2 linked regions of the Arabidopsis thaliana genome follow. The protein of the gene in region 1 interacts with the protein of each later gene in a biochemical or structural test. Each region holds a gene or a part of one and is shown on either strand. Other genes may lie near its edges.

Region 1 (4,678 bases):
TCAAGTGGTTTCGAATCTGTTAAGTCATTAACAATACAGTCAGTGCCACTAGACCCTAAGAAAAACAGACATTACGTCAACGCTCTTCTCGTGGTAGCGGCTCTTGTAGCCACAGTGACGTTTGCTGCAGGCTTTACAATACCAGGTGGTTATATCAGCGATAGCAAAAAACCAAACTTGGGCAGGGCAACTTTGGCCACTAACCCAACTCTCTTCATTTTTCTGCTTTTTGACATCTTGGCAATGCAAAGTTCTGTTGCAACAATATGTACTCTTATTTGGGCGCAGTTGGGTGATCTAGCACTCATCCTCAAATCCTTACATGTGGCCTTGCCCTTACTACTTTTTTCATTACTATGCATGCCCGTAGCATTCCTTTTTGGCGTGATCACTGCAATTGCCCATGTGAAATGGCTTTTAGTCACCATTAGCATTATATCTGGTGGATTCTTCCTTTTCGCAATCTTTATCCTTGGCCCTCACGTCATGCTACAGCGCTCACACCTTCCGCCCAGTTCTGGTATATTTCTCAAGACTTTTATGCTGACTATAGACATATCTGAGTTGTTTGTGATTTTGATCAAAGCTTGTTTTGGTTGTGTGGCGTGTTCCGAATAAATCATCAAAAGTTTATAGATCAAAGGATATTTTTCTTCTCTTTTTTTTTTCTTTCAAAAAGCTACGAGATATGCTGGTCTCTAGCTCTGAGAAGCGGCATCTTGATCATACAACTCATTCGAAGTCCTATCAGAATTATCTGTAGTTGTAATAAAGCGTGAAAAGTATATCATTCGAAGAGATTTTCCTCTAAAATAATCGAGTGATATTTTATTATTCGGTTTAGTGGATACCAGTTTACTAATCTCTCGAATTTATGAACCACATTCAAAGGAGATGAGTTTAACAAAAAAAAAAGGTAAATTGTTTTTTATTCTCGTCGTGCGTTCCACATGAGTCGTTTTCAAGAGCAATATAGACGATACTTCACAAGAATTATTATTTTTGTTGGGGTATAAAAATTTGAAGATACGTTTGGCAACGACAATACGACGTTAGATTGTTCCAAGAGGTGCAAAAACTTAGGGACCCTCTTTATTCGTTCACTGTAACCACTGACCACAACATGACTAGGTAGACTCTTCTTTTTGTCAATGTTGATGTTTATACGATTTTGATGAGACTGGCTCTATCAAGATATGAATCTCTGATCATATCTCCACTAATCTTTCATCTTGTTATTCCCTCATTTACTTTTGATTTCCTTCTCTCTCTCTCTTTTTTATGTATACAAATTTTTCTTTATTTCGCTTCACTAAACCCCACCATGTAATTGTGTGAGTTTTGGCGAAGTGGCGCAACACCGTAGAGCACACCAACACTAACCCAATCCATTTTATGACCGTAAATTTTGTTGTTGATTAGTGTATTTTTTTCTTGTTTAGTTATTCTGAGAAGTAAATTTTTTTTTTACAATTAGTTTTTAAACATAGTAAAATAAATTTATGACAGATTATAATATTATTTTAAAAATCAATAATATCTAACAAATTAAATAAACAAATCACAAATTACTATATTTTAAATAAATATTGATAATTTTAATTATATTATTTTGTTTATTGGTTAACTCGCAGGATATGCGAGTTAATTCATTTGAGATTGTAATCCGCCATATACTAACTCGATAACCCTGACTTTTTAGAAATCTAAAAGTATAACCCTATAATAAAATAGATTATGTCCAACTCGCGGATTCTAAACCTGAATTGACATGGCGGAACCATTCATAAAACCATACCAATTCTTGCGTTTTGGAAAGTTGGTTTCCTTTTCATTTCTTTGAATTTGATCCTAGATTGTGTAGTTCTCAAGCTCATGCTCTTGCTCGTCAAAAACGTATCAACGATTTGCTTTTCCTTTAGACGTTCTTGCATCGGATTGGTTTACTCAACTCCACTCGATGAAAAAGTTACTATCTTAAAAAGAACAAATGCAAATTCAATAAAATTCCCCAATATCTACGCATGAAAATATGATTCTGTCTTTTTTTTGTTTGTCTATCTTTCAATACTTTAAAAAGTGTATTTCTAGAGGCGATTTGTCATTTCCCGAATAGGAATTTGAGTAAAAAAAAACACTCTGTTTTTTATTTCCACTAATATCAAATCGGCGAATATAGTTCCCACCATTCTTATCTCCTTGTCGTCACTCGGAATTTTTTAAATAATAGGATCGCTTTAATAATATAATCTCTATAATTTATAGTTCCTTTTCCAATATTGGCGTCTCCGTTGAAGCTTTCCACAAATCTCAAATTTGTTTGGAGACTCTCAAATGTATCCTTCTCTCGACGATGATTTCGTCTCTGATTTGTTTTGCTTCGATCAAAGGTTCGTCCTTTCGCACTCTTCTCTTCCTTCACCTTCCTCTGTTTTCTCTATCTCTTTCGATTCAGTTGTTTTATCGAATTTGATCCCTTTTTTCAATTGCAAAATCATATCTTTAATGTTCAATTCGATTTCTGTGAAAAGTGTTGTTGTTTTTTTCGCATTTCAGGGGGAAAGGTTGTGTCTTTTGATGATAATTTGACGAACCCTAATGTATCTGAAAGCTGTTAAATTGAATAGGAGAAGAAGTAGCTTTATGGATGTTGTTGTTTATATTTACTCCTATTGATGGATGTGAATCTTTTTGGTCATGATGACTCTTGTAGCAATGGAGCAGAACTTGATGATTACACACAGTTTGGTGTAAATTTGCAGACTGATCAAGAGGATACCTTTCCAGATTTTGTGTCATATGGTGTGAATTTGCAGCAGGAGCCAGATGAAGTCTTTAGTATTGGAGCTTCTCAATTGGATTTGTCCTCGTATAATGGAGTTTTGTCGCTAGAGCCAGAACAGGTGGGGCAACAAGATTGTGAAGTTGTGCAGGAAGAAGAAGTAGAGATCAATTCTGGTTCATCTGGTGGAGCTGTTAAGGAAGAACAGGAACATTTAGATGACGATTGCTCCAGAAAGCGGTGAGTTTTGAAAAAATATAAACTTTTTGTGATTTGGTGGTAGTTGGTTGTGTTTTTAATTGAATCTGTGATGGTTGTTGATAGGGCAAGGACTGGATCGTGTAGCAGAGGAGGAGGAACTAAAGCGTGTCGTGAAAGGTTGAGGAGGGAGAAGCTAAATGAGAGGTATGTTTAGAGCTTAGTCTATGTTTTTGTTTTGTGAAGTGAGTTGTCTCAAGGGGAAAAAAATTGTTGTTGTTCTGTTAGGTTTATGGATTTGAGCTCGGTTTTGGAGCCTGGGAGGACTCCTAAGACTGATAAACCGGCTATACTCGATGATGCAATCCGTATATTGAATCAACTTAGAGATGAAGCTCTTAAGCTTGAAGAAACTAACCAGAAGCTTTTAGAGGAGATCAAGAGTCTCAAGGTTGGTTGTTCATTCACTTTCACCTAAACCAAGAATCTTGTTCAATGGGATGTGAACAGATTTCTAAGTTTGTATGTTTCTTTATAGGCGGAGAAGAACGAGCTGAGGGAGGAAAAGCTGGTGTTGAAGGCGGATAAAGAGAAGACAGAACAACAGTTAAAGTCTATGACGGCTCCATCTTCAGGGTTCATACCTCATATTCCAGCTGCATTTAACCACAACAAAATGGCTGTTTATCCAAGTTACGGTTACATGCCAATGTGGCATTATATGCCTCAATCCGTTCGTGACACATCTCGTGATCAAGAACTCAGGCCTCCTGCTGCTTAAACTCTCAATTGTTTTTTTTTGGTACCCATAGGGAACTCATAGAGATTTCTGAATCACTTGGTTTAGGATTCTTCCGTTTGGCAAGTGTAAAAGCTTTACTCTTGATCTTGGGTTGTATTTTTCTTATAAAATAAATATAACTCCAGAAACTTGTGATTCTTCTCTGATCTATGAGTTCGAAAAGTTCAGTTATCAAAAACTTTAGCTCAGACCAAAAATGTTGCTCTCGTTGAGAGTTGAACTCAAGACCTCCCGCTTACTAAACGGGTGCTCTAACCAACTGAGCTACGAGAGCTTCTTGCTGTTGTATTCTTCGCTATATGAATAATTATTTTTACCATTCACTGAGTAGCAACAAATTAGCCAATTAGGACCAAAGTGACAATGAATTTACAAAGGTTGAGCTGATGGCTATTCCGTAGGTTAATAAATCAGTCGCGTTGTGAAATAAGTTGGAACAATAACATTGAAGTGGTGTCTCTAAGAAACAATAATCCATAAATATTTCTACAAAAAAGTGTCATAAAAGCTTCTTGAAGTAAGCAAAATGATTTGCAGAGATTTTGCCTTTCAATGGCCTCATCAGATAGACTCTTTAAACCCATCCTGGATTCCAAAATGAAAATAAAATACAGACCGAATAAAACCGATGAAAGATATGGCTTCTTCAGTTTGCTTTTGCCTTTGGAGCCTTTTTCCTGAGTTGCCTACCGTGTTTCCTTGAGTTTTTCATTCCAATGAAGAAGAGCAGTCCTCCAAGAAGAGCCAAGCTCTGAAAAGTTAACACAGAATAGAAAAAGATCTCAGGTCTATGTCAACAGTTGTTTAAACTTTCATTAAACAACCAATATGACATTAGCTAACCTGTGTAAATTTTGAAAATAGTTGGCCGAATTCCTTTCTGTCAACATCGTAGT
Region 2 (8,047 bases), on another chromosome or scaffold:
AACAAGATAAGTGTAAGGATGCATTTAAAAGGAAGAGACGAGGCAAATAAACATTATCCTTAGACGAAAAAAATAAAACAAAACAAAAGAGGGAAAAAGGATACATGAAAAGAGATTGATCACTATATTGATGGATCACAATTCACAAAAAGCCAACCCATTGCCTATTGTACACTTGCACGATACTCGAAATTTCCAAATAATTCGGAACAAAAAAAACAGCTATATTCATTTTTTAAAATAATCAACCAATCGAATTTAGTCTTAAATTGTATAATTGTTTTAATCATTTAGGTTTACGATCATAATTAGGTGGTCATAGATGCCTATATCGTTGCATTAATTGAAGAAGGGAGAATAATAATCCTACCATCTATGATCCTATAAGATTGCAATAAAGCTATATATATATATATATATTCATATAGTATATATGATCTAATCTCTTGTTAATTACTATATAAATTAGGTAAAGGTTACCGTAGAAAATTACGTGGAACAATGTTGAAATGCTTACATAAGTTGACTAGTCCGTGTTGTTTTTGTTCTTTATAGAATTATAGTCAAGAACGGCGAATTATTAAGTTGTTTCTGATTATAAAATAAATAGGTTGTTGTGAAATCGGGGGAAAAAGAATAATGAATACTTGTTAAATATTGGTCCCCTAATAAATGTTATTTATTTTGGTTATAAGAAAAAAAAGGAATGTGTTGTGGAGAAGAGAGCGCGAGTGGAACTTGTTGCTACCCAATTGTCGCCACACTTCCCACACGTCCCCTCTTGTATCTTTTTTTTACTTTTCACCACTTCCTTTGTCCTCTGTTTTTTTCCCACCATTTTCTACTTCATCAATCTATTCCTTTTGTTTTTTTGGTAAAATATGTAAATATCATCTATTTAAAAATAAAATATGAACGAATAGATTTATAAATATACAAAATTGAAATTTTAAGATACTTTTAATCGAAAAGAGTTCCCAAATATTTACGTAATTAACATTTTTCAAAGTTTATTTAGGTTTAAATGTAATTTTCTGGTGTACCACTAACTAGACTATACATAATATAAACACGACTGTGAAACATGATCATCATTAGCTGTTGATTATCTACTAAAGAATTGTTTGTTATCTCTACATAAGAATATATATTGAACACGATTTCTATTATCTTTTACTAATTTGAAATAGAATTGTTTCTAGTAATGACACAAAATTAATTGACTCAATCTAGTAAACCTTGGAGCACATGCAAACTCAATTAAACAAGTTTAAACCTTTGTATTTGCATTTATTAATCAAAGCAAAACTGTGAAGCAATAATTTAATCAATGGTTTAATTAAGAAGCTAATTAGCTATTTGGCTCCTTTAGATTACGAACGGGTGCTGCTACATCTCCTCTCTGTCATTAGTCATTACTAAATATTTAAACCAAGTTCGAATCTGTCTTACATTATCTTATTTCATAAAATCTCAAAGCCAAATTCATCTTTTCTTTTGAAAGTGCTCCCTCAAAAGCTAAACCTCAAACATATAAAATAGCAAATTCATTTTAACAAAAGCTTAATGAATTCCACGTAAGCAATTACATAACGTTTTTGCCCCTAGTCAGTAGAGTCCCTCCTTCTAACTCCGAGAACCAGCGTCCATGTCTCGCGGACCAAATGCGTTCGTAGGTAAGACGCTTGCACGTGTCGAGATGTAATCGGTCACGTGCCAACCTGGGTTGGTTGCATCAGCATCCGACGTGGCGATGTGAATGGCCACGTGCTACAAAACCTATGTATAGAAACACCCACCCAATCCCCAAGCACTTTTATTCATTTTCTATAAAAAAATTTACAAGGATCGTATAATACTACTAACAGTTTTTTTTAAATATTTTCCAGATAAACATTAATAAAACGATAAAAGGCAAAAAATAAAAAAGAAAAGAAAGCAAAAGCAAAATCAAAATCGATATATCAGACAACGCCTCGACCTTTCTTTCTTTTTTTCCTTCTCATCGTCTCCGTTGAACAACACCACACAAACACCAGAAGAACACCAGATAATTCCCATGGTGAACCGAGCTCAGATTTGAAAATTGAAGGTCGTAGACGAATCATAAGGAAAGAGAGAAGTGGTTTGAGATTTCTTTTTTGACGGACGAAAACGGAGATAAGCTTTGGGGGAAATGGCGACGCCGTTACCAGATTTTGAGACGGCGAGAGGCGGCGGAGCAGTGGCGTCTTCTTCAACCACGGTTCTTCCGAGTTCTGTGTCTTCTTCTTCTTCTTCATCTCGTCCGTTGCCTGTGGCGAATTCGTTCTCGGATGACGCGGAAGAGATTTCTCCGATCCTGATTTTCTTGTTCTTTCATAAGGCAGTATGTAGTGAGCTTGAAGCTCTTCATAGATTGGCTCTTGAGTTTGCTACTGGTCACCATGTCGATCTCCGGCTGCTTCGTGAACGGTACCGGTTCTTGAGATCCATCTATAAGCATCACTGCAATGCCGAAGACGAGGTAATGCGAAAACCTGGTCCTCTTCTTTTAAATTTGATCTCATCATGTTCTGAAAACTGCTGAATTAGAATTTGGAACCATCTCTACTTGGATTTTGAACTCAATACATATAGCTGCAAATTTGTGTAAATCTGACTTGATTTTATCTTAAACGAATTGTAAGTCTCAATTAGTCTCTTGCTGATCATCCTATTGATTCTATGAGTGCGTTGTAGATAGGGAATCTATTGCAACATATTTGTATTGCTATGTTATGAGGAAGAATTGTTGACAGTTGCAAATCTGTGGATGTAGGTGATATTTTCAGCTCTTGACATACGTGTGAAGAATGTAGCGCAAACATATTCTCTTGAACACAAGGGGGAAAGCAATCTTTTCGATCATCTCTTTGAGCTGCTGAATTCTGCCACGGAAACTGATGAAAGTTACCGAAGGGAGTTGGCTCGTTCTACCGGAGCACTTCAGACTTCTGTTAGCCAGCACTTGGCGAAAGAACAGAAACAGGTATTTTTTTCTTTTCCTTCACATCACAGATGTATTATCTCTGTTGTTTTCTATTAACACAGATCGAATATTTAGCATTACGCATTGGCCTTTATTAATTACGGGTTGTTCTTGGCTTGTTGATAGGTGTTCCCCTTACTTATTGAGAAATTCAAGTATGAGGAGCAAGCTTACATAGTCTGGCGGTTTCTCTGCAGTATTCCTGTGAATATGCTTGCTGTGTTCTTGCCATGGATTTCTTCTTCCATTTCAGTAGATGAAAGCAAGGAGATGCAAACGTGCTTAAAGAAGATAGTTCCAGGCGAGAAGCTCCTTCAGCAGGTAAGTTTTGAATTAAGATCCAACTTTCTAAGTTGAAAGACTTTGGCTTGTTGATTGATATTTTCCTTTTGAAGGTTATTTTCACCTGGCTGGGAGGGAAAAGCAATACCGTGGCTTCGTGTCGCATTGAAGATTCTATGTTCCAGTGCTGTCTAGATTCTTCTAGCAGCATGCTTCCTTGTAAAGCAAGTAGAGAACAGTGCGCATGTGAGGGTTCCAAGATTGGGAAGAGAAAGTACCCAGAGCTTACTAACTTTGGCTCATCTGATACTCTGCACCCAGTTGATGAGATAAAGCTCTGGCACAAGTCAATCAACAAGGAGATGAAAGAAATAGCCGATGAGGCTAGGAAGATTCAGCTGTCTGGAGATTTTTCGGATTTATCGGCATTTGATGAACGCTTACAATATATTGCTGAAGTGTGCATCTTCCATAGGTATTTGTTGTATCCTTTCATTTACAATGAAAACAGAATAATCTCAATTTTGCTATTGTTTATTGGCTATCTTTTGTGGGACTATTCAATGTTGATTTATTGAGGTAAATAACTAGATTTGTTTTATAAAGTTGATGTTGATGGCCACTAAAACACGTTTGCCAGCTGTGATGTGTTTTACTTTCAAGTGATATGGATGTTGTTTATCCTTTACTCTTCTCATGCTTAAGCACGTTTCTGCATTAGAGTGTTATCATTCGAAAAAGAGTTTTATCAAATGTTCATATCTACATACAACTTTTTTTTTCTTCTGACAGAGATTGAATTGTCATTGGACTATTTTTGAGATGATCTGTTCTTTTCTCGTGCAGTCTTGCAGAGGACAAGATCATATTTCCAGCTGTAGATGGAGAGTTTTCATTTTCTGAAGAGCACGATGAAGAAGAAAATCAGTTTAACGAGTTTCGATGCTTAATTGAAAATATCAAGAGTGCTGGAGCCTCTTCTACTTCCGCTGCCGAATTTTACACTAAGCTGTGCTCACATGCTGATCAAATAATGGAAACTATTCAAAGACACTTCCATAACGAGGAAATTCAGGTGAACTATTGCTTTTAAGTGCTGTATGATATTGTAAACAGGTGAAACTATGAAAGTTTGGCATAAGATCATTTGATACTATATGCTATGAAGATTCAAGATACCAATTTCAGGATGTCAACTAACTTGTAGTGGTTGCAGGTGCTACCCCTTGCACGAAAGAACTTCAGCTTCAAAAGACAACAAGAACTTCTCTACCAAAGCCTGTGTATAATGCCATTGAGACTAATTGAACGAGTTTTGCCATGGTTGACGGCATCTTTAACAGAAGATGAAGCTAAGAATTTTCTGAAGAACTTGCAAGCTGGAGGTACTATCTACTGTACTGCCTTAAACTTAACCTTCTTTCAAATTATTAGCTACTCACAATTTTGCATAATTACATGCTTTTTCTTGTGGCCTCAGCACCTAAATCGGATGTTGCTCTCGTTACTCTTTTCTCTGGTTGGGCTTGCAAAGGACGCAAAGCCGGGGAATGCTTGTCTCCAAACGGGAATGGTTTATGCCCTGTGAAAACACTAAGCAACATTAAAGAAGTCAACCTTCAGTCATGTAATGCTTGTGCGTCTGTTCCATGCACGAGTAGGAGTACAAAATCGTGTTGCCAGCATCAAGATAAAAGGCCAGCTAAGCGAACTGCTGTATTGTCTTGTGAAAAAAAAACCACCCCTCACTCGACAGAAGTTGCAAATGGGTGCAAGCCATCTGGAAATGGTAGGTCATGCTGTGTTCCGGATCTCGGAGTTAACAATAATTGTCTGGAACTTGGTTCTCTTCCAGCAGCTAAAGCTATGAGATCTTCTTCGCTAAACTCTGCTGCACCCGCTCTTAATTCCAGCCTCTTTATTTGGGAAATGGATAGTAACAGCTTTGGTACTGGACATGCTGAGCGGCCAGTTGCTACAATATTCAAGTTTCACAAGGCCATAAGCAAAGATCTAGAGTTTCTTGATGTTGAATCTGGAAAGCTCATTGATTGCGATGGAACATTTATTCGTCAATTTATCGGTCGATTTCACCTACTCTGGGGTTTCTACAAGGCTCATAGTAATGCAGAAGATGACATCCTATTTCCAGCTCTAGAATCGAAGGAGACACTTCACAATGTCAGTCACTCTTACACGCTCGACCATAAACAGGAGGAGAAGTTGTTTGGAGATATTTATAGTGTCCTTACCGAACTTTCAATTCTTCATGAGAAGTTACAGAGTGATTCTATGATGGAGGACATAGCTCAAACTGACACTGTTCGGACGGATATCGATAACGGTGACTGCAACAAGAAATACAATGAACTGGCTACAAAGCTACAGGGGATGTGCAAATCCATTAAAATCACTTTGGATCAGCACATTTTCTTGGAGGAACTGGAGCTTTGGCCTCTATTTGACAAACACTTCTCCATTCAAGAGCAAGACAAGATTGTGGGTCGTATAATCGGAACAACGGGTGCTGAAGTTCTTCAATCTATGTTACCATGGGTGACGTCTGCCCTTTCTGAAGATGAGCAAAACAGAATGATGGATACCTGGAAGCAGGCAACCAAGAACACAATGTTCGATGAATGGCTTAATGAATGCTGGAAAGGATCACCCGACTCATCCTCAACAGAAACATCCAAACCTAGTCCACAGAAAGGTAAAAGCATTGCTTAGCTATTTCTCACCAACTTAATATCTAACTTGTTTAATGTAACCTTAGATGTTTCTTCTTTGGACTTCATAACTCATACTTAAGCTGGCAACTATAGTTTCTCTGTGCTAAGTTTGTTTTGCTTATGTCAAGTTTATTTTCCATATAGATAATGATCATCAAGAAATCTTGGACCAAAGTGGTGAACTATTTAAGCCAGGGTGGAAAGATATTTTCCGCATGAACCAGAATGAACTAGAGGCTGAAATCAGGAAGGTCTATCAGGACTCAACACTTGATCCGAGGAGAAAAGATTATCTCGTACAGAATTGGAGGACCAGGTCAGATTTTTTTCACTATTTCCACGCATGGATCCTTTATTCCACATTGTCATGCATACAGCATGCCAGACATAAATCTAGAACCCCCCAAAGAGATAATACATTTCCCTGTATTACTTGAACTTCTTTTGCAATGCGGAAGAGTATAAGTGGTGCTCCTGTCCTTTACAGTTTCCCAATCCAAAATAACGTGCTCAGTTTATTTTCCACTGTGCATGTATATGTGTCCTTGATTGAGCAATCTTCTGATATAGAGAACCTATAATCTCATTCACATGTCCCTCATACCCGAATCCTATTTGTTCTAGAGTAACATTTATTTTAAAATTCTTCTGTTGGTGCATTTATCAGTCGATGGATTGCGGCTCAGCAAAAGTTACCTAAGGAAGCAGAAACTGCAGTAAATGGTGATGTTGAACTTGGATGTTCCCCGTCTTTTCGGGATCCCGAGAAGCAGATATATGGATGCGAGCATTACAAGCGTAACTGCAAGCTTCGAGCTGCTTGTTGTGATCAGTTGTTCACTTGTAGGTTTTGCCATGACAAAGTAAGCGACCACTCCATGGATAGGTAAGATCTTATATTCTAAAGCCAGTTTCCCCTAATTAAATTGAAACTTCTTTGTTCGTATTTTTTTTCTCTCTCTGTGATATGTAATTTTATATTTGAAACATATTACAGAAAATTGGTGACGGAAATGCTCTGTATGCGGTGCCTCAAGGTGCAACCTGTTGGTCCCATCTGCACAACACCTTCATGCGACGGATTCCCAATGGCAAAGCACTATTGCAGTATTTGCAAACTTTTTGATGATGAAAGGTAAACAAAACCCAACAGTTTGATGCATAAACGAATCAATTTACCACTGTCAAAAATCAAACTTCAGAAGCTATTCTAACCGTGAGAAACAATTATCTGCATTCAGGGCCGTTTACCACTGTCCATTCTGCAACCTTTGCCGGGTCGGGGAAGGACTAGGAATCGATTTTTTCCATTGCATGACATGTAACTGTTGCCTAGGGATGAAATTAGTAAACCACAAGTGCCTCGAGAAGAGCCTCGAGACAAATTGCCCCATCTGCTGCGAATTTCTTTTCACATCGAGTGAAGCAGTTAGAGCCTTACCATGTGGTCACTACATGCACTCAGCTTGCTTCCAGGTTTGCAAATCTCTCTTTCTCTCATTAAACTTAAATTAACTTTTAACGCCTAAAATCAAAACACTTGCTGTTACTCTGGTCTTTCAGGCTTACACTTGCAGTCACTACACATGTCCAATCTGTGGAAAATCATTAGGAGATATGGCTGTAAGATGATCCCCGCCCCTCAAGAGTGTAACATGCATATCACATCATGCAAATATTGTTTACTGAACTGTTTCTTCTTCGTTTCTTTTGCGAACTCCACAGGTTTATTTTGGTATGCTTGATGCACTGTTAGCTGCAGAAGAACTTCCAGAGGAATACAAAAATCGCTGTCAGGTGAGAAACACTAAAACTGCTGCGTCTTGACTATTTCTTTTAGTCTAGTCATTTCATGACACACATACACAAATGTTTCAGGACATTCTATGTAATGATTGTGAACGCAAAGGAACTACACGGTTCCATTGGTTGTACCATAAATGTGGTAGCTGTGGTTCTTACAATACCCGGGTGATCAAGTCCGAAACAATCCCCCCGGACTGCTCAACCTCATCCTGAAAAC

The links.
Region 2: the proteins of bHLH104 (region 1) and BTS form a complex in vitro, tested with the Arabidopsis thaliana proteins (one study listed by BioGRID).

The regions. Positions count from the first base shown.
Region 1 is NC_003075.7:8,297,743-8,302,420, forward strand, and holds bHLH104 (basic helix-loop-helix (bHLH) DNA-binding superfamily protein), read left to right. Parts: upstream 1-1,654; 5' UTR 1,655-2,334; coding exon 2,335-2,390; exon of another isoform or gene 2,391-2,675; coding exon of another isoform or gene 2,676-2,713; coding exon 2,714-3,022; intron 3,023-3,106; coding exon 3,107-3,187; intron 3,188-3,268; coding exon 3,269-3,431; intron 3,432-3,518; coding exon 3,519-3,761; 3' UTR 3,762-3,925; downstream 3,926-4,678. Other genes in the region: ACD6 (ankyrin repeat family protein), read left to right, coding at 1-618; AT4G14420 (HR-like lesion-inducing protein-like protein), read right to left, coding at 4,429-4,533, 4,626-4,678.
Region 2 is NC_003074.8:6,272,132-6,280,178, forward strand, and holds the start of BTS (zinc finger protein-like protein), read left to right. Parts: upstream 1-1,834; 5' UTR 1,835-2,176; coding exon 2,177-2,506; intron 2,507-2,800; coding exon 2,801-3,010; intron 3,011-3,136; coding exon 3,137-3,331; intron 3,332-3,405; coding exon 3,406-3,767; intron 3,768-4,138; coding exon 4,139-4,367; intron 4,368-4,508; coding exon 4,509-4,677; intron 4,678-4,772; coding exon 4,773-6,005; intron 6,006-6,168; coding exon 6,169-6,340; intron 6,341-6,691; coding exon 6,692-6,910; intron 6,911-7,021; coding exon 7,022-7,159; intron 7,160-7,265; coding exon 7,266-7,500; intron 7,501-7,587; coding exon 7,588-7,647; intron 7,648-7,749; coding exon 7,750-7,821; intron 7,822-7,902; coding exon 7,903-8,043; 3' UTR 8,044-8,047. UniProt on the Arabidopsis thaliana protein: Essential protein. Negatively regulates the response to iron deficiency and thus contributes to iron homeostasis. Exhibits E3 ubiquitin-protein ligase activity in vitro.